Oryzias latipes: one gene and its partners. The protein of the gene in region 1 purifies or fractionates together with the protein of each later gene. This does not show direct contact. Links are inferred from orthologs where the notes say so. Each region holds a gene or a part of one and is shown on either strand. Other genes may lie near its edges.

Region 1 (4,151 bases):
AGAACCATAACTACAAATGTATTATTCATTCAAATTGTTAACATTTTTCTTCAAAAGTAAAAACTAACTCCCAATGGAGGGATAAAAGAGCCACCTTTGGCCCCAGAGCCTCAGATTGCTGATCAGCCTGAGCAACCTTCTGTTCATTTTCAACACCAATAAACTCATCTGGGGGGAAAAAAAACAAAACATAAAAAACAGGAGATTTTTAATCAACTCCGTTGGTGTATTTGATTCTTTTACATTGATATTTTAAAGTTAAGTTTGATTTTAATTTATAGTAACTTTTGTTTAACTTTAGAAGTATTTATCATGCTTTTGTCTAAGGGGTATCATCATCAGGCTGTGACACACAGCTCAGATAATCCAAAAGTATTCTTGATTGATTTTTAAGTAAAATACGAAACAACTTTTGAGCCTTTTTTCTGTTGTTGTTGATAGTCGATTATGCTAACAGTCCTTCATGCAGAGCACAACTATTTAATTATGAAGCACAGATGAGGAAAAATCCTGAACTTAACATTTGTGTTGTGTGTGGTAGTACTGTACTCACATTTCAAGCTTATGCGAAACGGGTCTTCTGGTGTATCGTGAAATCATTCTCCGGCTTGTATCTCTGCTCTATGATCGGCTAAATCCATCATTTCTCGTCCCTGCCTCCGCTCCAGAGGATCTTGTGGAAAAGTCTAATATTCCTGGCACAACGTTCCTCTGACAAGATGACTCCACGACTGAACAGACAAAAGAATGCTAATGCTCTGTTTAGTGTCATGAGATGCTAAAAATATCAGCTAACCAGCGTGAACAACATCCCTGCAAAATATCAACAGGGCACAAACAACGTTGCAAAATGATGTTCTAGCGTTGTTCTAGCAATGTTATAATGGCACACACAAGCCATCTACAAGCGTTCTATACTAACCATATTTAATACATTTGTTTGTTTTTGCTGTGAGAGGACTGAATGCTAGTACTAGCTAAACCACTGGCAACAATAACGCCGCTGTCATGGATACCAATTGTGTTGAACGCGCTTCTTCATGGGAAATGCAGTTAATTCACAATCTGTGTTGAGCTTAATCAATGAAAACCTACTTCAACTCCCAGCATGCATTGTAACTGGTGGTTTGTACGTCTAGAAAAAGCTTCCGTTATGTTTAGTGGACATTGACAAATTCCAAAAGACTTACTTGAGAATTTAACATAACCACATCATTTTAATATGAGTTTAATAAAAACATTTATATTTTTATTTTTTTGTGTTTATCTAGAAGGGGTATTATTCGCATGTTTTTAAGAAAGCGGAACTTAAAGACGATGGTAGGAACCCGGTTGTAGAGTGTAGTCGGCTTGATATTACCGACGGATCAATCAGTGGCAGAAAGCATCGTGGATGTGTCGTTTTGTAAACATGATTGAAGAATTTTTTGTCATTATTTTTTTCTTTCAATCACATCAACGTAATTTATAGTAAGACAGGGTAAGCTTCAATCCTAAAGTATGTTTATGCAAATTACGTCGTTACGTAATAATTGAGTTTAGCTAACTGTAAACGGACTACAGTGGTAACTTGTCTTTAGTTCTTTCTCTGTTGTGTTGTGCAGTTGGACATACATTGTGACCTTACTTTGCTTATCGCACGTGCACACTAGTTTATTGTTCATTCCTTCCAACAGGTTGCGTGCAAAAGTACAGAAATTGAACAAAAATGGATCTTTTACAAAGAAGGGTATTTCAGGATGATATGGTCCAATACAATCTCTTCTTGCTACCTGCGGATCATTCAACTCTTCAGCAGAACGAGCGACGACTTAAAGAGATGCTTGGAGAGATTTTTGCAAAGCTTGCCCCCATGTTGGTGGAATATATTTGGCAACATCAACCATTCAATCTGAAGTATCATCCATCCAAAGGTAATGGATGGTTATATGATCTATGTTCACTTTAATAGCTTTCTAACTATTAACTTTTGTATATTCCGTTTGCAAACAGGAGACATCCCGGCTCACATTGGAGGCATCACTCAGTTTGGGGACAACGTGGAGGATGAGTGGTTTATCGTTTACCTTCTGCAGCAGATCACAAAGACTTTCTCAGATCTGGTTGTCAGGTGAAGAATATATATGTATTTGAAGTTATATTTTCTTCTTTAAACTAATTCTTGCCAACATTACTTTGGTTTGTTCCCAAATATAATTAATTTTTACTCAGTGTTGAAGACAACGACGGGGAATTTATTCTCATCGAAGCTGCAGATTATCTTCCCAAATGGTTGAGCCCCGATACAAGTGAAAACAGGGTGAGTCAGACACACAGAGGGGCAAATAGTGTGTTTTATATCATATTTCTATACTTTTGAAAGGTGATGGATTACTCTCAGAAAGAGTTTTGATCAGATTTATAGTGAAACCTCTTGAGTCAGAAAAACAGATGATAAAATGTAATATGTTGCAGTATTGCAAAATATTGATAAGCATCTTTAAAATAATTATAACCGGAGAGCTTTCAATATGATGTGAAGAATAAAAAGGGATGGATGACATTGGATTTTTCTGATGTTTTCAATTTGTTGATTGATACCAATAAATTCTATTAACACCTGTGTTTTGACTTGATAAAAATATGTAACCAAATCTCCCCTATTTTTAAAGTTTGTTTTTTTTTACCTCACAACGCATCCCTGCTCCTTTACAAGGAAACAGATTTATTATAATTATAATCTATTATAATATATATTTTTTTTTAGATAGATGCAGCTCTTTTTTTAGCTGAGTAAAAGTTCTGATTTTTTCATTTGAAATGAACAGGGGTAGAAAGTCTTGTGCAATAAAATCTTACAATTTCTGCAAAAACCCACTGAAGTCAATGTATAGCTTGTGACAACCCACCTTCGATAGTTTAAGTGTTAATTATTATAATTTTTTTCAATCTTTTGCAGGTTTTTCTCTTTAGGGGAGAGTTGCACATCATTCCTCGCCCTTCCAAATCGAGTTCTGTGGGCTTCCCACGTAATGTGGTCCCCAGTGTGGAACAGGCTCTCGCACTTCTCTCTGCTCACCCAGAAGCTTGCCAAGCAAGCCCCGGGATACGTTCAGCCCTGAGAAAAAGACTTGTGGGGTGATGCATAAAGAAGACCTTTTAGTATTTCTGCCGCTAAATTTTACATCATATCATTGTGGGTTAAATAATGTGAGAGTGTATACGTTTTTTGCTGACTTAAATCTTTGTAAATGATGGATTGAATTCCAAACCAAAAACCATTTGCTTCTCCTCAGATACCCAGAGAAGATAAAAAGCGGCCTCCACCGTGCTCACTGCTTCATACCGGCAGGAATCGCCACCGTGTTGGCGCATCGTCCTGACCTGGTGGCACCTGCCGTCTCAGCTTTTTATTTAAGAGATCCAGTCGACCTGCAGGCATGTCGGAGCTTCAAGACGTTTCACCCCGACACCAGAGTCCTCACCTCGGTAATGACACGACGACCCGAGTTCTGCTGGATGAGCATGCAGACGAGGTTTTAGCTCAGTTTTGATATCATAAGCACAGAATACCTTCTAAGATTCACCTTTACTCATTTCCAGGTTACGTTTACCCGCTGCCTCTATGCCCAGCTGCAGCAGCAGCAGTTCACGCCAGATCGGAGGAGTGGCTTTAACCTTCCTCCGCGCACTCATCCTCACTACAAAGCCCATGAGCTTGGCATGAAACTGGTTAATCCTTTTTCTTTGTCTTCATCTTCGCATGCTTTGGTTGTGAGCACACACCTTTGTGTTTTCTGTGTAACACGAAGCCTCGTGTCTGTGTTTGGGCTCCACTTTCAGGCTCACGGCTTTGAGATTTTGTGCTCCAGGTGCAGACTTCCTTCTTCAGGGCCCGACGACGCTGCTGTCAGCTGTAACCCTCAGTGGAAAAGCTTCCTGAAAAGTCTCCAAAAGAATGACTACTTCCGGGTTGGTTCACATTTGTTAACAGTTTTGTTTTTTATGAAATGCATTCATGAGGATGATTTGTTTATTCAGTGCTTTTAATTAATTGTTAAATTCGTTTCCAAATGCAGGGGGAGCTGGAAGGTTCGGCCCGGTTTAAAGAGCTTTTAAGATCAGCAGAAGTTTTCTTCAAACAATCCGTTGCTTCAAAATCTAGGTGAGAT
Region 2 (4,218 bases), on another chromosome or scaffold:
CATCAAATCGAGCATTTTAGCACTCATCCTTGTGATCCGAGCTCCTTCTGTAGCTCTTCCTCTTCATTTTCTTGAAGGGGGTGAAGCTGGGGAGGGACTCCTGCTGGTCTCTGACCTCCTCTGCATCCTGCTGGGTCTTTCCAGCAGCCTTGTTGTCCTCCTCCTCTTCCTCAGCCAGGTGACTGAGGTGCAGTCTCTTCTCCTTTCCTTGCTGGTCTGACTCAGAGATTTCTTCCTTGAACGCTCGTTTGGGTTTAGAGAAGACCACCTTTTGCTGCTGGTCGTGGGGGGGTTCACCGGGGGGGCGGTTGCCCTCTTCAGGCCGCAGACTGGACAGGAAGTTGTGCGCCGCCCTGCGGTTCTCCTGATCAGTGGTCTCCTTCACGTCCTCCAGGCTGTAGCGCGTCCAGCGATCAGGGTGCAGCAGGTAGTCCGGGACCCCCCTCTTCTTTGCAGGAGGGGGACATTTGGGAGGGGGCATGCTCTCCTCGGGGAGCAGAGGTGCCGTCTGCCTCTCGACGCCATCCAGGCAGTCGAAGACGCTGCGGCTGCGGTCGGAGAACGCAGAGTTCCCTCCGCTCAAGACGAACGTGCTCGCAGTTGAGCGGGTGGCGCCGAGAGCGCACGCCTCCTCGCCCCCGTCGTCGCTGTCATCCAGCTCCGGGTCAAAGGGCGCCCGGCTCAGCTCTTCCTCGGGCTCCGACTCGTCACTGGCCGACAGCTCAAAGCCTTCTTGGTCGTCGCCGCAGCTCTGGACGCATTTCTGCTGCGACATCTTCAGCCGCGGCTGCAGCCGAACCCCGAGCCGCGAGGAAGACAAACCCGGTCAGGTGGGAACCCCAAAACTGTAGAGGAAGACACCAAAGGTCAGGCCACCCCATCAAACCTGCATGGACTGGTTTTAACATCTACCAAAACAACAACAAGCTGCTAGGACCTGTGAGGACGGACCACCGAGCATCCAACAGTAAATATGAGGGTTTTGGAAATAACCTGTAAAATAATAATGATCCTCTATGTTTACATCCATTTTAAAAGCAAGCATAATTATTTAAGTCCTAATTCTGTTCAATTCAAAACAAACTTGAAATAAATGTTTTGAAATAATGACCCAATAAAAGGTCAATAATTACAAGAATGCGCACGTGCAGCCAGTGCTGAACGTTGTCATTGGCTGCACGGACCCACAGGAAGGGTCAAGGTTAGGATTTCGGTAAGTTCAGGCAGGTATCCAGGAAGCACGTTTAAACTAGCCTGACTTTAAGCCTGAACTCTGGCTGAAATCCGCCTGAACTTGCTTACTCTGGGTATGTCGGTATGACCAGATTTGAGTTAGTGTAATTACGCTGGACTTGGTAACCCTAACTCAAACTCCCCAACCATCAAATCAGAGAATATTTGAATGAAACGTCCTTTCCCTACATCTCAAATTCAAATTATATAACCCAATATTTCAATAATTCAGAAAAGAAACAAATACGAACCAAATATTTCAAACTCCCCATCCCTCCTAAAGCCAAGGAAGTCAATTTTAAAACCTTTTCAGGTATTTTACCCTTCCAAGGAATTACTAAGAAAACGGTTTGGAATTCCTGAAAACTGCTGTTCTTTTTGTCATGATGACATTGAAACAACTGAGCATCTTTTCTTTGAATGTTTTGACTCTAATGTCTTTTGGAATTATTGGCTTTTCCCCCAAATCCCACATTTAGCAGACTTTTCTATTAAGGACATCATTTTTGGGTTTAATTTAAAAAACAAAAAAACACAGAACTTATTTTAAATGTTGTAATTATTTTGGGTAAATTCTATATACATAAATGTCAATTCCTTGAAATCCAACCATATTCTTTTACATTTCATAAAGAACTCTGCTCTTTTTTTCATCTGCAAACTTCATGGAAATCAAACTTGCTATGGAACTTCAAAGTATTATATGTAACTTGCAGCTTTTTGAGAACCCCCCAAGTCAAGAATCATTAAAATGTCTATGTGACCCCCTTTTTATTTTAATTTCTTTTATTTAATTTTTTTTCGGTATTATTGTTATATTTTTATTTTATCCTGCCTATGTTGTTTGTTCATGTCCTGTACTTTTTCTACTTTTCTATACTTGTCATAATTGTATACAATTGTTACAAATTGTAAACCTCAAGTGTTTTTTCAATTAAAAAAAAAGCTAAAAATAAAGAAAATACCCCCCTGGTTCCTGAGCGGCTGTTTCTGCAGCTCTCCGCTCCTCCAGGATCAAAGTACAATTTTCTCACAGTTAATGGGATTTTAACTTTAAATATGTTTTCCATAACTTTGTTTTCTAGTAAAAATACGTGCGAACAACAATAATAACATCATCATGATCATCAGCCTTAACAGCGCATGAATTAAAACATCTGTTTCATCTCATATATGAATTTTTTTTGTGCCTAAAAAACTAAAGCTTTTGTTTTGATTTTATTTAAAAAGATTGGCAATAAAAATAAAAATAACTCGGAATATTGACTTCGTAAAAACAAGATTCAGACTGAAGTTAGTTAGCATGCTAAGTAGCACGATGCTAGTAGTAGCGCGACATGCTAACAACGTTACAAATGCTTATAAACAAAACAAAAATGCTGTCTAGCCGAAAAGAGCTGCGAAATGCGCTGTTGTTTACATGACAAATATTTATATAATACGCGTAGTTTTGACTTAAATCCCGTTTGTACCTTTGAAATAGCGCAGACCGCCGGCCGAAACCCTCTTCTTCTACGGTAGATCGTGTAATGTTTACGTCATTACTGCCCCCTAACGATTGTCCTGTGGTACTGCAGACCGAGCCGATCCGCGCATGTAAAAAAACAAGGGCGGGTCTTTATATAGCTCCCTGCTGTGATTGGCTGAGCTGCAGCAGACCGGGATCTTTTGAAAGTGTCAGGGCGTGGGCTCAGAACTCCGCTTGTTGTTTCAAAGCTCCAAGTGCCGCGTGATCCTCATTTAATCCCGTTAAACCGAGACTCTGGCGAGCGTTTCAATGGAGTTCGAAGCCCTGGAAACCGGGTGTACCGTCAGCGACGTGTCGGACTTGGTGGTGGTCGATCTGGATCCTCAGGTCGAGACGGACAGCGTTTGCTCCGCGGGACCCGGTTTATTGGATGTAGCGCAAGGTTTGTTACGTTACCGTTTTTGGTTTGAGTTTTCTTTCCTCCGAGTCGGTGTATGAGACAAGCTAACCGCTGCCGTCGAGGTTTGCTAGCTTGGAGATTTAGCAGACTTTTTATCCGAGTTTCCGGCGGTCTGTGAACGCAGCGTCTTCATATGTCGTCAGCCTGAGCTGCATTCTCGGAACTGTCAATCTTGCAGGATTTTCCAAACTTAACCCAAATACGACAAATAATTATATTTCACTCTCATCTGAGTAGACATTAACGGATGTTGAAATAAACAAATAACACAATTATGTTATTACAAAAACAAAATATACCTATAGAAGACCGCAAAAGGGGTGTCAGACTGTTTCTTTTTTTTTTTTTAAGATATCCTGCCTTATCTGCTACTGATTACCTGGATCAGGTGTGCTTCATGGCAGGTTGGTTGGACAACATGTAGGACACCGGCCCTCGAGGCCTGGAGTTTGACACCTGGAAAACGGGGGTGTAAATAAATTCATTTATTTGTGTATGTAGACACAGTATTTGTGACTCTTTTGTTGATTCTATGAAGTTGTTTAACAGATTGTTAAATAAAAGAGAAGAGAAAATATCTGCTTTCATGAGGATTTTGACACAGGAGGACCGGAAAAAGCCTTAAAACCTGTTAACTTACTAAAAATACAGCAATTAAGGACAAAAATAACATTTAAAATGCCTATGAAATTATTATTAAAATTAGAGTTGAAAGCATATTTTTTAAAATAGCAAAATAACTTTATAAATGAGTTAAATCAATGCAAACATTTTTTTTAAAGTCCTTCAAAGTTTAAAAAAGCATTAACAGTCTTTTATTTTGAAAAGTGGCGCTGGACAAACTTTCACAGCCATCATTCATGACCTCCGCTGGGTTCTGCAGCTCTGTTCCAGAACGATGATGCTGGAGACGTCAGTGACGAAGACGAGGATGACGACGACGACAGCGGGACAGACCACCAGAACTCTGAGAGGTCGGGGACGCAGCTGCAGAGGTCGGAGCGGCGGTCAGGAGCGACTCTGCCGGACACCTTCCAGACCGGCAGCCTGCTGTTCT
Region 3 (4,182 bases), on another chromosome or scaffold:
TTTGACCGGAGCATCTCAAACTTCTGCTAACATGAGGCATCATGCTAGAAATAATGTATTTTTTTTTCTCTTTTCTACGCCGCACCCGGTATAATCCCACTCCCCAAAAATAAACACAAATTGTTTCATTTGTCTCTCTTTAGTTCTAATTTTGACCTGAATGCTCCTATATTTCTTATTAGCATGAAGCCATGAAGGTTCAAAGAGCTTAGAAGTATCTTTGAACTTATGGATCACCAAGGATTAAGTAAATAAACAGAAATATGAATTCATTTTTTAGACTTTGTTTCTGTTATAATCAGTGAGACCAACTTTTTCCTCTGACAATGACACCCCTTTGTATTGTTCAGGGAGTCTAGATAGAGTTAGCTCAGACCTTCTTTTTTGTTGAGGTTCATGTCTGTTCTTAAAGTTTCTGGCCAGAAATTAGCGCATGCATTCCCGTCCCCCTGTGCAAAAGACCCAATCCTGCTTTGCCCTGCAATTTGAAAGAAATCTGTAAAACTTTACGCAATAGAGTGTGCAAAATGACAATGTAAAAACTCCATGTTTGGTTTGTTCAACTTTTAATTTTTGTGTCTTTACTCCCAAACAAACAATGCAGACCTTCTGAAGTGAATGTTTGGTTGAGGGGAATTCTGACTCCAAACTCAGTGAGACAGACGATGATCTGCAAATGATGTTTTCAAAGTAAGGCTAAACATAGCAGCTACAATATTCAAGAGAAGTCTCTTCATGCATCTAGAAAAAGTTTTTTTTAAACTTTTGAGTCTCAATTCAGCAGTAATTATCTGGTGAGATCTTAAATTACACTAATATCTCATTTAGATTTCATGAATAAAATTTGCATTTGTTCCACAGGATTAGACAGTTCTCAAAGTTTCTGTCATTAAATGACAAAAAAATATTTCTCAAACTGAATTAAATGCTGATTCTTGTATTTTTACATCAATGCAGCTGAAATATAACTTTCTTTCTATAAAAGTGTTTTTCAGATGTCAGAATAAAATGTGAGAATATGGGAGAACAAAAACTTTCATTGTAGGAAATGTTCTGCTGGACCAGTTCAGTTACCCCCACCACCCCCACCCCCGCAGTCGGTTCCCATAGTTGTTTATTGTTATAAAATGTGGTTTCTCATTTTTTTTGTCTAAATCACAAATAAAGGGTTTCTTTATTTTATCATTCAACCATAAACTAGACCTCTAAACTTTTATTCATTAATACCATTATTATTAGAAAGTAACGCTAGTTGATGAGAAGAAAAGCTTCTCTTTTAGTGTCCTATCTTCCAAACGAAACCGAAAGCACAAAGGCAGATGATTGATTGCAGGAGTTTCCTCGACCTGAACCGACTGGAATTTGATGAAATCCTAAACCCAGCGTCAGTAGTCCATGACGGGGAGGAAATTGAGCAGCAGCAGCAGCAGCCTGGGTGATGCTGGAAAGACGCAGCGCTGCGTCGGCTGTGACTGACCCCGCTGCAGCTCTGACCTCTGCACCTGAGAAAGTGTGCAGTGCAGACAGTACCGAGAGGAAGCAGAAGGATAATGAGAGCAGCTGGAGCGTTAATTCCACGAACCTGCAAGTCACTGTCAGACATAGGTTTGCTCGTCTGAGGATCCTGCTGAAGAGCATAATAAATGGTAAGCGCACTGGTGCGTAATTACGCACGCACAGTGACAAAGTGAGTTGTTTTAGTGCTTTGATGCCAAAGCAGAGATTGAGAATTAAACCTGAGACTCGGACTTGAGTCTCACTTCAGTTTCAAAGGCAGGGATTTAAGACTTGAAAGCCTATTTAAGACTGAAACCTTAACTTCAAGAGCATCAGACTAGACTTTGAGGACTTGAGAACATTCTTAGTTTATTTTTAGTTTTACCTTAAAAAAAAAAAACAGATTGAGGTCTAATATTTTTGTGCTGTATGTGTCACTATTAGGTGGTTTAAAATACTGTAATGACATTAGTGAGAATCACACATTTTTAAAAATAATTTCCAACATTTTGGATTTGACTTGTAACCAAAGACTTAAAACCAGACTATGACTTGGGAAAAGTGGATTTCAGAGCATTTTAATGCCAAAGTCTGTGCACTTTGTCTTTCTGTCATGTGATACAAAGATGCCCAGGAGCCGAGTGATTTTATTCAGTCTTCACTGGGCTGCATTTAAGGTACTTCCACACCTCTTTCTTTTATGCAGTGTCTGACCGGAACTCTACTCCACAGTGTCCTGGTGGTTCTCTTGTTGGCCAACTCATCTGGTAAAAGTAAATGTAACTACAAAGACATACTGGGCTTCTACAGAGAAGTCATCTTCGTTGAGCTGCAGAATCTGGTATGACGACCAAACTGACCGCAAAATAAGAATTTCAATGTTTGTTTATATTCAACAGCCTTTTACCTACAGCTGACACTAAGAAAAGTGTTGGAATATATGGTTAGAGACTGCCCTCCAGTGTTTGTTTTGCAACACACACACAAAGAAAAGCCTCAAAACGAATTTTCCCACACTTTGAATGAGATGAAACTGGATTTCTAAAATAATATTTTTGATGACTAATGTTTTTCAGAATTTGACTGTTTCTCACAACTCATCCAAAGGGAGAGATCCCTGCCCCTCTGCAAAGGTGAGCATCAATGCTATAGGTACATTAGATGTAGTTTGGTGGCTGTAAAACGGAAATCACACACACAACAAATGCAGTAAACGTAGTAACAAAAATGGAAACAAATTACAGAAAACTGTTAAAATAGAACATTTAAAAATATTTTGCTTTAAAAAAAAAAAAACAATATTAAAAGTAAAAACAAAAAAACAAAAAAGGAGATTTCTTTAACCCTGATGTGACATATTTGTTTAGTTTGGCAAGTTTTGTCTACCCAAATACTTGCATTGTTTGTTATCAAGGTCTTTAAATGCTGTCTGTTTTCTCCTTTTTCCTGCCATCTCATGGCAGGCACATCGCATCCTTGTGTCCATATACATTAACACACAGCAGGTCCTCTGTTTGAAGAGCGGCAAGAAGCTGTCTGACCTGAAAAAGCCAATAGAAAACATGGAGCAGCTCATCGTTCAAAACTGCAGTCCTAATTATATGGTGAGAAAAAGTACCGATGCAGATCTTTGAAGTATGCAAAAAAACTTAAAAATCTGAACTAATTTATCTTTTTTTTCTTTTTTTCTTTTACTTCTAGGGAAAGAAAAACCCCTGTTCATCTGCCCAAAAAATACAAGGGAGAAAAGGCAAGAGATTTAGGGTGATCAAAACCATAAAGGCATTGATTAGATGTTGGGAAAAACTCAAAAGTGTCGTACCCTCTGATAAATAGTATGACTTTGGTCCCTAGGACCCGTGCTACTCTATGCACTCAAATTTCCAGATGGTTCTTCCAATCTGGTCAAGATAGACTTTGTAAAAAAAAAAACGGCTTCCTCTTTTATTGGAATGCTCAAGTTGTTTTATTCCTCCTTTTTTTAACAGTTGTCGAGATCTCCGAGTTTTGTGATTAAAAAAACGCCATCCACTGCATGTCAGCATTCCTCTTTGCAATATGAATTGTTTCCTAATAAGCCAAGATAAGCTAAAAAGTATTCACTCACCATTCAGATGTTCTCCAGTAAAATATGCACATTTTCATTCTTTGTAGCATGTTTTTTTTGAATGACATATTGACATTATACATATTTCCTGTCTTTTTTACTGTAATTTCATTTAATAAAATACTGAATATTTATTAATACTTTTATTAGAGAGGAAATTGTTGGTTTTGTTGTTTTTTATAAAAGGAAATCTTAAAGAGTGGAACTGTTCTTAAAAAGAATGTTTCCGACGGAACAAATAAGGTGTTACGCAGCGTCCGCCAGTGTTTACAGCCGAGAGTCCGCGAAGCGAATTCGCCACGAATCTGAACATTATCGTAAAGTAGCTTTTGTTCTTTGCATGTTAGTAAAAAAAAAAGTGCGAAGGGCAGTTCTTAGTCAGAATTATACTCTTTTCATTGTTTGTTTTCGTAACATTTACAGCGACGCAGAAATGCGTTTTTGTTCCTTAACAACACTCCCCTGAAGCAGCTTCTTCACTAGTCTGTGACTGTCTGTGGGACGTTCTGGGTAATCCTTTCCAATATTCAGGACACTTGTATTTTATTTTAGGAGGTTATTTGTGACACAAATTGAGT
Region 4 (4,082 bases), on another chromosome or scaffold:
TGTCATTTCATGACGTGCATTCAAACCCTGAGAATTATTCTATGTATGTACTAGAACAGAATTTCTGGCATGGTGGTACAACGGTCAACCGCTAACATTAATATTCCTAGTCCAATTCCCACTCCCAATTACGTTCACACCAGACGTGTCACACATTCTTGGACATGCGTTGTCATATGGTGTTCACAGTGGACGGGCGCCAACACGTCCACCACCTCCAGTTGGAGGAGGCTTGGGAGGAAAATTCAAAGCGGTGCAAATCTCCAGGCGTTTTCTTTCACGGCTCGATTCCGGTTTATGAAAGACTTGGTGTGTCATGTAGTTCTGGCAGGGCACAAACTGCACATTTTGAATTTCTCCTTCTTGATCACCTTTCAACCAGTTAGCCCATTTGGTGAATTAAAAAGGATGCTACGCATGCGTCACTACCAAATCTGACTCTCTGATTGGTCAAAGTTCAACTGGTTTAACTTTCAAAGTGCGTTCAGTGGGTGCAGGTTTTGTACAAAAACAGACATCAAGACTCGCGCAGAGATGCACGAACAAAAGAGTTTTGACCGAAGAAGCCGGAAATGCGCATTTACAAGCGTTTACATAGACTTGGACTCGTTGGAAGTAGTGGCGTAGACGCGGATTCCCGTGGGCGGTGTGAACCTAGCATGCCCGTGCTCACGCCGCGTCAGTGTGCGTCTTACCAGCTGTGTCCTCCTCCTCTGAATCAGAGTCAAAGTAAACGCTGTCGTACATCTGAGGGTTGGAGGAACCGACAACCTCGCTGCCTCCTCCAGTTTCTGCTGCAGGAGAGAGGAAACCTTCACATGCAATCCCTCCTGAAACCTTCGTCTGCAGTCAGATTAATACAGAAGCAGACCAACCCCTCCAGAGAACAGCTGATGAGCTGCCTTTGCAGAAAAACATTCAAAATTTACAAACTATTGGTTTGTTTTGGGACTTTTATTTAACACAAACTAATCATTCAATTTCTCCTGGAATTGTGGAGGATTTGAAGGTTCTGGTGGATGAGAGGTTGTGGACTCCGGCTGGTTTGACTTGACTTTCTACTATAGCAAGTACATTGTATTAAAAGAGCATTTTTCTATTTTAAATTGAACAGTATTTCTAAAATATATCTTTTTTCTAATGTTTGTATGATTTATTAATTAAAACAAAGTAAAGAAGCCAAACATGAGTGGTATCAGGTCAAAACTATTGTTTTTGAGTTTTGCATGAAACCTGTCTGGATCTACAAATCCTCCCATGCTGGTCACTGATCTGACTGTTCATTACAGCTCAGACCTTAAAGTCTGCAGCTTCTAAAGAGAAGAACAGCTTTTAAAGCTGCACTGAATGGAGGAATGGAAACATCAGAAGACCTGTGGGGTGTTCCAGGAAGCATGTTTAAACTAGCCTGACTTTAACCCTGAACTCTGGCTGAAATCCGCCTGAAATCGCTTACTCTGGGTATGTCGGTTCCAAAAGACCGGGTATGAGTTGGCGTAATTGCGCTCGACTTGGTAACCCTGGGTTAATGCTCGTGCACAGCAGGTACATAAAGACATTCTCAATAGATCGCCGATTTACGGAGTAACCATGGAAACGCGTGGAGAACAATGGTGGAAAAAGTATTATCTGAGCTTCTTCATCCACTAAATCATCTTCAAATGGACACGCCATGCTGCTTCACCTCTCTGAAAACAAACTAAGCTTCAACTAAACCTGCTCCAGACCAGGTTATGTTCAGAGCATGAGTTACTATGGCAACTTGACCTACCCTGAAGCATACCTCCATTTCTAAAACAGAAAGCTGAGGGTATCAACTTCCTTAGCCTCAAACTTACCGTGGTAACTAGCATAACCTGCTTTCTGGAATACCCCCCAGATCAGGCTCTAGAAGCAGAATGAGATGGTTTTGAAAGGAGAGACGGACAGTTATGCTGCTGCTGCTGCTGCTGATGATGATGCTGGGAGGCGGCTGAGGTTGGGGCTGGTGGCTCCAATGTGGTAAAGTGGTTCAAAACAACAAGCAGCTCTCTTTTGTACAAAAGCTTGGTGTTTCTGTGTTTGGAAGGGCCCTGTGTGTGTCTGTGCGTGTTACGGGTTACCGGCTGCAGGGGCCCAGCTTCCTTCCATGGTCCTGAGGGTGGAGCTCAGCTCTGCCTCCATCTCCTTCTCAAACTCATCCCCGCTGGAGGACTCGCTCTCCCCGGTCAGGTACTCCCGGATCAGCTTCTTCTTCTGGTCCGGCGTCCCGTTCAGCAGCACGTCCAGCTCGTCCTCGGAGCTGAAGACAGGCGTTTCTGTTCAAAACTGGACTTTTGGAAACCTTCATCATGATGACGATCATGAAGCAAAGCAAAACACAGCGCCAAAATGCGACATATTGCGTCTCTTTTATCATGGTCTAAAACCTGATTCAAACTTTAAAATTAAACGTCTAGGAACTGGTTTATCCTGCATATATTCTACCTTTAAAATCAAAAACATCATTAAAAACCAAATCATAAACATGTAATGTTTTTATCCGTTTTTGTTGCTTTCAGCTGTTGTTAGCCTCGTGCTGCTAGCATGAAGCTAACCGTCTGTTTACATCATACCTGCTCGAAGCGCGTTCTTCGTCGCTTGGCTCATCGATTTCATAAGCCTCACTTTCCACCGGTCCGTTAAACTTGCTCATTTTAACAATTTTAAACTTTCTCAGAAGACAAAACAACGGGAAAGATTTATCCCGAAACTGGTCTACACTCTGTCCAGTCTGACGTATGTCTTCTTCTTCGGCATCGGTTCTTCTTCTATGGTGGTAAAAGCACTTGGAAAACTCGTTACCGCCCTCTTGTGGAGAAACATTTTAAAATCATTTTTACTTCAACTATCTAAAAGGAAATTCATTTCAGAACTAAAAAATAAAAGTAGGTGGAATATAAAACAAAAGAAACAAATAAAAATAAATTTATTTATTGCTAAAGCCACAATTTAATAGTAAAATCGGTCAGGTTAAAATGCTGAAGCTAAATTTAAAAGATTAGAAAAGTAAAATTAATAAAAAAGAAGAAATTAATTATTGTTTGGATTTAACAGTAGGTATAACATGAAAATAATTAAGAAAATTTTCAAACATTATATATTTTTATGTATCCCCAAAATATAATGATAACTATAGACTTCAAAAAGCATTAAATAAAAAGTTTTTCAAGATTAGTTTAAGGATAACCCATGCAACTTGAAAAGGACAATAGAGGTGAAAAGATTATTCAGCCATAAGCGCTCATCCTGGCAGCTCAGGAACAAGCCCTGAGTACCAGAGCAATAGAGGCTCAGATCTACCACACCAGACAAGACCCAAGGTGTAGGCTGTGCAAAGAGGCGCCTGAAACAATCCAGCACATAACTGCAGGGTGTAAGATACTGGCAGGGAAAGCATACATGGAGCGCCACAATCAAGTGGCTGGAATAATATACAGGAACATGTGTGCAGAATATGAACTGGAAACCATAAAGTCAAAATGGGAAACACCTCTGAAGTGGTAGAGAATGAGAGGGCAAAGATCCTGTTGGACCTCCAGTGTTATGGCTGTGGCCGTATTCGGTTTTGTTCTTTTTGTTCTGTCTTTTTTGTATCATAGTGGGACTTCTGTGTTTTGTGGGTTTTTGTGTGTCTGTCTGATTACTTTGGTGCTGGAAAGGGTGTGGCTTCCTTTTGGACCCAAGCTGATGGAGGCAGCCTTTACAAGCAGCATGTGGACCCCCAGCCTGCCAGAAGGGAGCTTTGCTGCAACCTGTCTCCACGGAGGTTATTGTTTTGTCACAGGTAAGATTTCAGATCTCAGTCAGGTGGGGTTTTGTTTGTTATTTTGGGTTTGGTTCACCCTGAAGCCTTTTTGCTTCACCTTTTAGTTATTGTCGATCGGTATTTATTAATTTGTAAATAAATGTTATTTTTTATGGAGACACTCTTTTGGTGTTTTTGGTGTTAATTTAAAGTCAGGGCAAAAAGACTTTACTGTTATGTTGTGCTCCTCTAGGTCCCCCTAGATATCAAATGGGGCAAAACATCCAGATCCAGACTGATGCAGTGATCGCTCCTC
Region 5 (4,213 bases), on another chromosome or scaffold:
TAAAATCACCAGGAGACATAAATAACCTAAATGATGTGTTTTTAGGGCTGCCGGTATGCAATGAGAAAGTGAACATTGTCTAAACGGTGAGGTTTTTCCCTGCAGCTGCAGTCAGACATGAATTAAAATGATCACCATTCATTTTGCTTTTCCTCCTGTTCTTACGCACAGGCAAGCAGGCCAATGCAAGTGCGCCTTTGTAAGAGGATTAGGTCAATAAATAAAGTCTTCTCATCAGAGAATCATAAAAAACTCTCAAAACAATGAGATCATCTGAGATTCACACCTTGACAGAATGTCTGTGGGAAATGGGGTTGATCAGCGGATCAAAGTAGAACGCTGGAAGATCTGGATCCTCCGTTTTGATAAACACCACATTTGGGGTATGGTACCTAGACAATAATAAAGACGTGAGTAAACATAATGATCAAAATGACAAATTTGGAGAAACACAGCAATTTTGTAAACACCAAAGCTTATTCGTTACCAGGTGAGATGCACGTGGTGTGGCAAGTTGTTGTACAGGTAAGGGAATGCAATTTTGTACTCTGTCCTTATTGGCTGTCTGATGATGATTTTGTTGATGTCATTGAACTCATTCCAGTCCTCATCCCTGTATGAAAACAAAAGTTTAACTACGACTCTTAATTGCCAAAGCAAGAAAGAAGAGATCCACATGACACAAAAAAGAAACCCAACAGAAAATGTCTTAACTGTTTTGTTACATAACATGCAGGGACATACTGGAGGTTGATGTCTCTGACAAGCGGCTCGAACTTTGGTCCCCCTGGAATGGCCATATTTAGAGCCTTGGATGTGAAGAAAGCTTTGAGGTCAAACAGGTAAAAATAGTTGAAATCCACCAGGTCTGTCAGAAGCTGATTGGCCAGACGATACAGCGTTGACATCATGGGCAATGTGAACTGCCATCGACGGTAGGTGGTTCCATTCACATATCTAAAAATGTACATTTGTTAACAGTAGGATCGCAATGTAGAATGGTTGAGCTGAAGCTTGGACTCATATATGGACACTCACTTGGAGTTGTCTTTGAGGGGCTGGTGTTCATATAACCACTCAACAACTGAGGCATCTTCCTCAGAATCAAGCTCCATCTGGATGGCTTCCAGGGGTTCCACGTCAAGAATGTTGTCAGCATAATCGAGCGGAGGCTCCTCATCGTCGAACGGTGGGAAGCGCATTCTTTTGAAGTGCCGCCGATCGCGCTTCTCACGACGCATCATGATCCACATGGTGCTGGGGGGAAAAAAAATAAAGTTGGAGAAAACTGTTCAACAGATAAATAGCAAGACTGCAATTACAATGAAATTTACACACATTCCACAAAACTAGGATGATACTACTCACTTACCCCCACTGAGCAATGTAGACTGGCTCTATGACCCACGGAATTTCATTCACAAATGAAATGGCTCCAGTGATGTGGTACAGCACCGGCACATCTCGGATCTGTTCCCAGGGCATCGGCATGTTTTCAAGCAGCTTCAACACAGCGTGGGGCATATACTTGAGAGCACTGTTAAACAACAGAAAAGAGAATGGAAGGCATGTAAAGGGTCTGCAATAACAGTAGTTTTGACCAGGAAACTAATACTAATGTATCCAAAAAGACAAGCAGAGGAACAGTGGAGGGTTCCATAAAGTTAAAAAAAAATGTTTAAGAGAAAAATAACATGACTTCAAATGACTTTGCATCTGCAGAAAGTAATGCTTCATCTTACCCAAGGTAGACCCTTTTGTCATGCCGGAACTTTCTATTGGTCATGTCGCCGTGATCCCTGATGATCTTGCGAACATGTTCAGGAGGCATGTCCTCCTTCTGGGCATCCACAAAGCCAAACTTCCTCTTCTCGGCATAGCGTTTGGCTTGTAGCTGTTGCCATTTCCGTGCTAAAGATGGAAAAATGTTTTAGTAGAATAATGTTTGAAATACATGTATTAGATGTTAAAAACAAAACTTAAAGAAAGGCAAACTCAACGGACAACGCACCCTTTTCTTGTAGTTTCTCTTCAGACATAAAGTCCGGAACTGGCACAGGAGGGGGGACACCTGGGGGTACGCCCGGCGGCACAATTGGAGGCACACCAGGGGGAACAACTGGGGGCATCCCAGGAGGGACCCCTCTGAATGGAAAGTTGACTGCCATACTGTAGCAAACTGTGAAATATAAAGTTTTTTTTAAAAACTGTAAGATGCAAAACTACATACATCAAATTTGAAAAAAAAAAAAAAGAGTTAGGTTACAGACTTTAAAGGGACTAAACTTTCAACTATTTACTAACACATAACTGCTTGGAAGCAGGATTATTGTTTGCAGGCTCTCGTTTGTGTAACATGCTAGGCTAAATCAACATGGCTTCCCGGCTAACGGGCACACTTCCCACAAAGTGCACAAAATAAACATCAAGGCACCATTATCCACTTGTGATAGTCAATTAAATGTTGACATGGTCAATTTTAAAAGCGCTGTTATATTTCAAATGAAGTGTGCGACACTAATATAAAAAATCCGGGTAAACTGTTTTAGGCCAAACGTTACAGCGCCGTAAACTAGCATGCTGCTAGCGTTAGCATCTCCTCGCGTTAAGTAACAAAGAGTAAGTTAAAGACAACAGCAAACATGTTCCTACCTTCACCACAGCAGTATTGTTGCAACGTTCAAATAGCCTCGGCGCTCTCGCTCTCGGCTACCATAACATATCGGCTCTTCTGATTGAGTTTCTCTTTTTCCCCGCTCACTCACGCTGCCGTTCGACTCGACGACAACGGAGGATGAACGCAGGTCTGTGGCATTCAGAAGCAGAGTTTACGACAGAAATAAACGTATCACGCGGCTAAAATGGCATCGCTGTCGCATTTGCTCCACGCTAAATCTACGCAAACGTAGGGATGCCGAATACCCGGATGTCTTTGTTTCCGGAGCTTTACCGCCCCCGCAGGATTGGGGACACAATTAATAGTTTGTACGCCAAATGAAAGAAAGAGCGAGTTATTATGGAGTTGCTAATTTCCAATTGATTTGAACGTCAGCACAAAAGCACCTTACAAAAAAGATCATTTTTAATGCTATTTTCCCACAAATCTTTCCTGTTTATGACTGATTTGCTTACCGTTGAATGAATTTTGTTTAATTGCTGTGTGACAGTTTTACAAATGTAAAAGCACAAAATAACATCACAAAATAAAGTGGCAAGAGCAGTTAATTCGGAACCTGTGGATGTTTTTAATCCCCAACTATCCCATGTTGTGTTCAAGTCATTTTACACCGCCAACATTTTTTCCAGTTTCACTTTTATAATTAACAGGAGGGTCAAGTCTGCCAGAATGTGTGTCCACGTAGTGTTTCGCAGTAGAAACTAATTAACAACTTTATCTTTTTTAAAGCCTATTCTTGATGTAAGACATGCATGTCCAAAGTCCGGCCCATGGGCCTTGCTTTCAAATTTCCACCGGCTGCAGCCTCTGGTCACAAAATCCGTATCCAGCCCCCAGCACCTTCTGTAGACTGTGTTACAATTTCTTAACTGTGATTGGCTAAATTCCATTTTTAAAAATTGTAAATCTGTGGATACACTGTCTGTTGAACAAGCCGATGCGGAACCTTTCCAGTTCATTTCTAAAATGTCAACTGTAAATAATAAAAAAGAAAAGTTGACAGCAAGAGCAGCCACTTGTAGAATGTCATTTATAAGTTTTTCGTTAGCGTTTGACAAAAGCATAGATGCAGAAACTGTTTTTTTGGGGGGAGTAGACAATGACCTGAACTTGAACAAAGAGCCTTGAGGGCCAAACGAAAGAAACAGATTCATTTGTTATTTCTTTGATCAAAGCAACAGTGGTTTGTACTTTGGAAGAAGAAAACTTTTTTCCTGTTCACATGTTTTAAATTTGGAAGTTTAAAGCGAGCATTTATAAATGAATAATAGGTGATTCTTATTGGGAACCCAAATTTATTTTGTAAAGTTTTTTTTTTTTATCCAGTCAAAATTTTTAGCATTTTATTAAAAATGAAATTACGTCATTTTGGTAAAAAAAAAAAAAAAGCATTTAGATGGAATTATGTTCTATGTGAAAAAATGAAAATAAGTTATTTACTAAAAAGGTTTAATTAAAAAGATCCTTTGGATTAATGTTATTATAATGGTTTAAAGCTTTTTAACCTCACTAAAAAATAAATATTATATAAATGGA

What was found.
Region 2: the proteins of ecd (region 1) and tssc4 purify together in Homo sapiens (affinity purification with mass spectrometry; 3 studies listed by BioGRID and IntAct, counting the BioPlex papers as one, with this or other methods). This does not show direct contact. The link is inferred for Oryzias latipes from reciprocal best matches to the Homo sapiens genes ECD and TSSC4.
Region 3: the proteins of ecd (region 1) and aar2 purify together in Homo sapiens (affinity purification with mass spectrometry; 3 studies listed by BioGRID and IntAct, counting the BioPlex papers as one, with this or other methods). This does not show direct contact. The link is inferred for Oryzias latipes from reciprocal best matches to the Homo sapiens genes ECD and AAR2.
Region 4: the proteins of ecd (region 1) and eapp purify together in Homo sapiens (affinity purification with mass spectrometry; 3 studies listed by BioGRID and IntAct, counting the BioPlex papers as one, with this or other methods). This does not show direct contact. The link is inferred for Oryzias latipes from reciprocal best matches to the Homo sapiens genes ECD and EAPP.
Region 5: the proteins of ecd (region 1) and prpf8 purify together in Homo sapiens (affinity purification with mass spectrometry; 7 studies listed by BioGRID and IntAct, counting the BioPlex papers as one, with this or other methods). This does not show direct contact. The link is inferred for Oryzias latipes from reciprocal best matches to the Homo sapiens genes ECD and PRPF8.

Annotation. Positions count from the first base shown.
Region 1 is NC_019873.2:17,934,633-17,938,783, forward strand, and holds the start of ecd (protein ecdysoneless homolog), read left to right. Parts: upstream 1-1,346; 5' UTR 1,347-1,480; intron 1,481-1,676; 5' UTR 1,677-1,708; coding exon 1,709-1,913; intron 1,914-1,992; coding exon 1,993-2,110; intron 2,111-2,211; coding exon 2,212-2,299; intron 2,300-2,938; coding exon 2,939-3,117; intron 3,118-3,275; coding exon 3,276-3,468; intron 3,469-3,582; coding exon 3,583-3,711; intron 3,712-3,822; coding exon 3,823-3,951; intron 3,952-4,058; coding exon 4,059-4,144; intron 4,145-4,151. Other genes in the region: protein FAM149B1, read right to left, coding at 554-600. UniProt on the Homo sapiens protein: Regulator of p53/TP53 stability and function. Inhibits MDM2-mediated degradation of p53/TP53 possibly by cooperating in part with TXNIP. May be involved transcriptional regulation. In vitro has intrinsic transactivation activity enhanced by EP300.
Region 2 is NC_019861.2:37,264,293-37,268,510, forward strand, and holds the start of tssc4 (protein TSSC4), read right to left. Parts: upstream 2,803-4,218; 5' UTR 2,706-2,802; intron 846-2,705; 5' UTR 776-845; coding exon 17-775; 3' UTR 1-16. Other genes in the region: shcbp1 (SHC SH2 domain-binding protein 1), read left to right, coding at 3,011-3,143, 4,045-4,218. UniProt on the Homo sapiens protein: Protein associated with the U5 snRNP, during its maturation and its post-splicing recycling and which is required for spliceosomal tri-snRNP complex assembly in the nucleus.
Region 3 is NC_019865.2:15,451,655-15,455,836, reverse strand, and holds the start of aar2 (protein AAR2 homolog), read left to right. Parts: upstream 1-1,376; 5' UTR 1,377-1,646; intron 1,647-2,203; 5' UTR 2,204-2,338; intron 2,339-2,573; 5' UTR 2,574-2,630; intron 2,631-2,960; 5' UTR 2,961-3,101; intron 3,102-3,198; 5' UTR 3,199-4,182. UniProt on the Homo sapiens protein: Component of the U5 snRNP complex that is required for spliceosome assembly and for pre-mRNA splicing.
Region 4 is NC_019880.2:24,339,438-24,343,519, reverse strand, and holds the start of eapp (E2F-associated phosphoprotein), read right to left. Parts: upstream 2,805-4,082; 5' UTR 2,675-2,804; coding exon 2,595-2,674; intron 2,282-2,594; coding exon 2,103-2,281; intron 795-2,102; coding exon 696-794; intron 1-695. UniProt on the Homo sapiens protein: May play an important role in the fine-tuning of both major E2F1 activities, the regulation of the cell-cycle and the induction of apoptosis. Promotes S-phase entry, and inhibits p14(ARP) expression.
Region 5 is NC_019871.2:16,913,019-16,917,231, reverse strand, and holds the start of prpf8 (pre-mRNA-processing-splicing factor 8), read right to left. Parts: upstream 2,810-4,213; 5' UTR 2,653-2,809; intron 2,180-2,652; 5' UTR 2,169-2,179; coding exon 2,012-2,168; intron 1,912-2,011; coding exon 1,743-1,911; intron 1,538-1,742; coding exon 1,373-1,537; intron 1,258-1,372; coding exon 1,039-1,257; intron 958-1,038; coding exon 745-957; intron 614-744; coding exon 488-613; intron 393-487; coding exon 287-392; intron 1-286. UniProt on the Homo sapiens protein: Plays a role in pre-mRNA splicing as core component of precatalytic, catalytic and postcatalytic spliceosomal complexes, both of the predominant U2-type spliceosome and the minor U12-type spliceosome.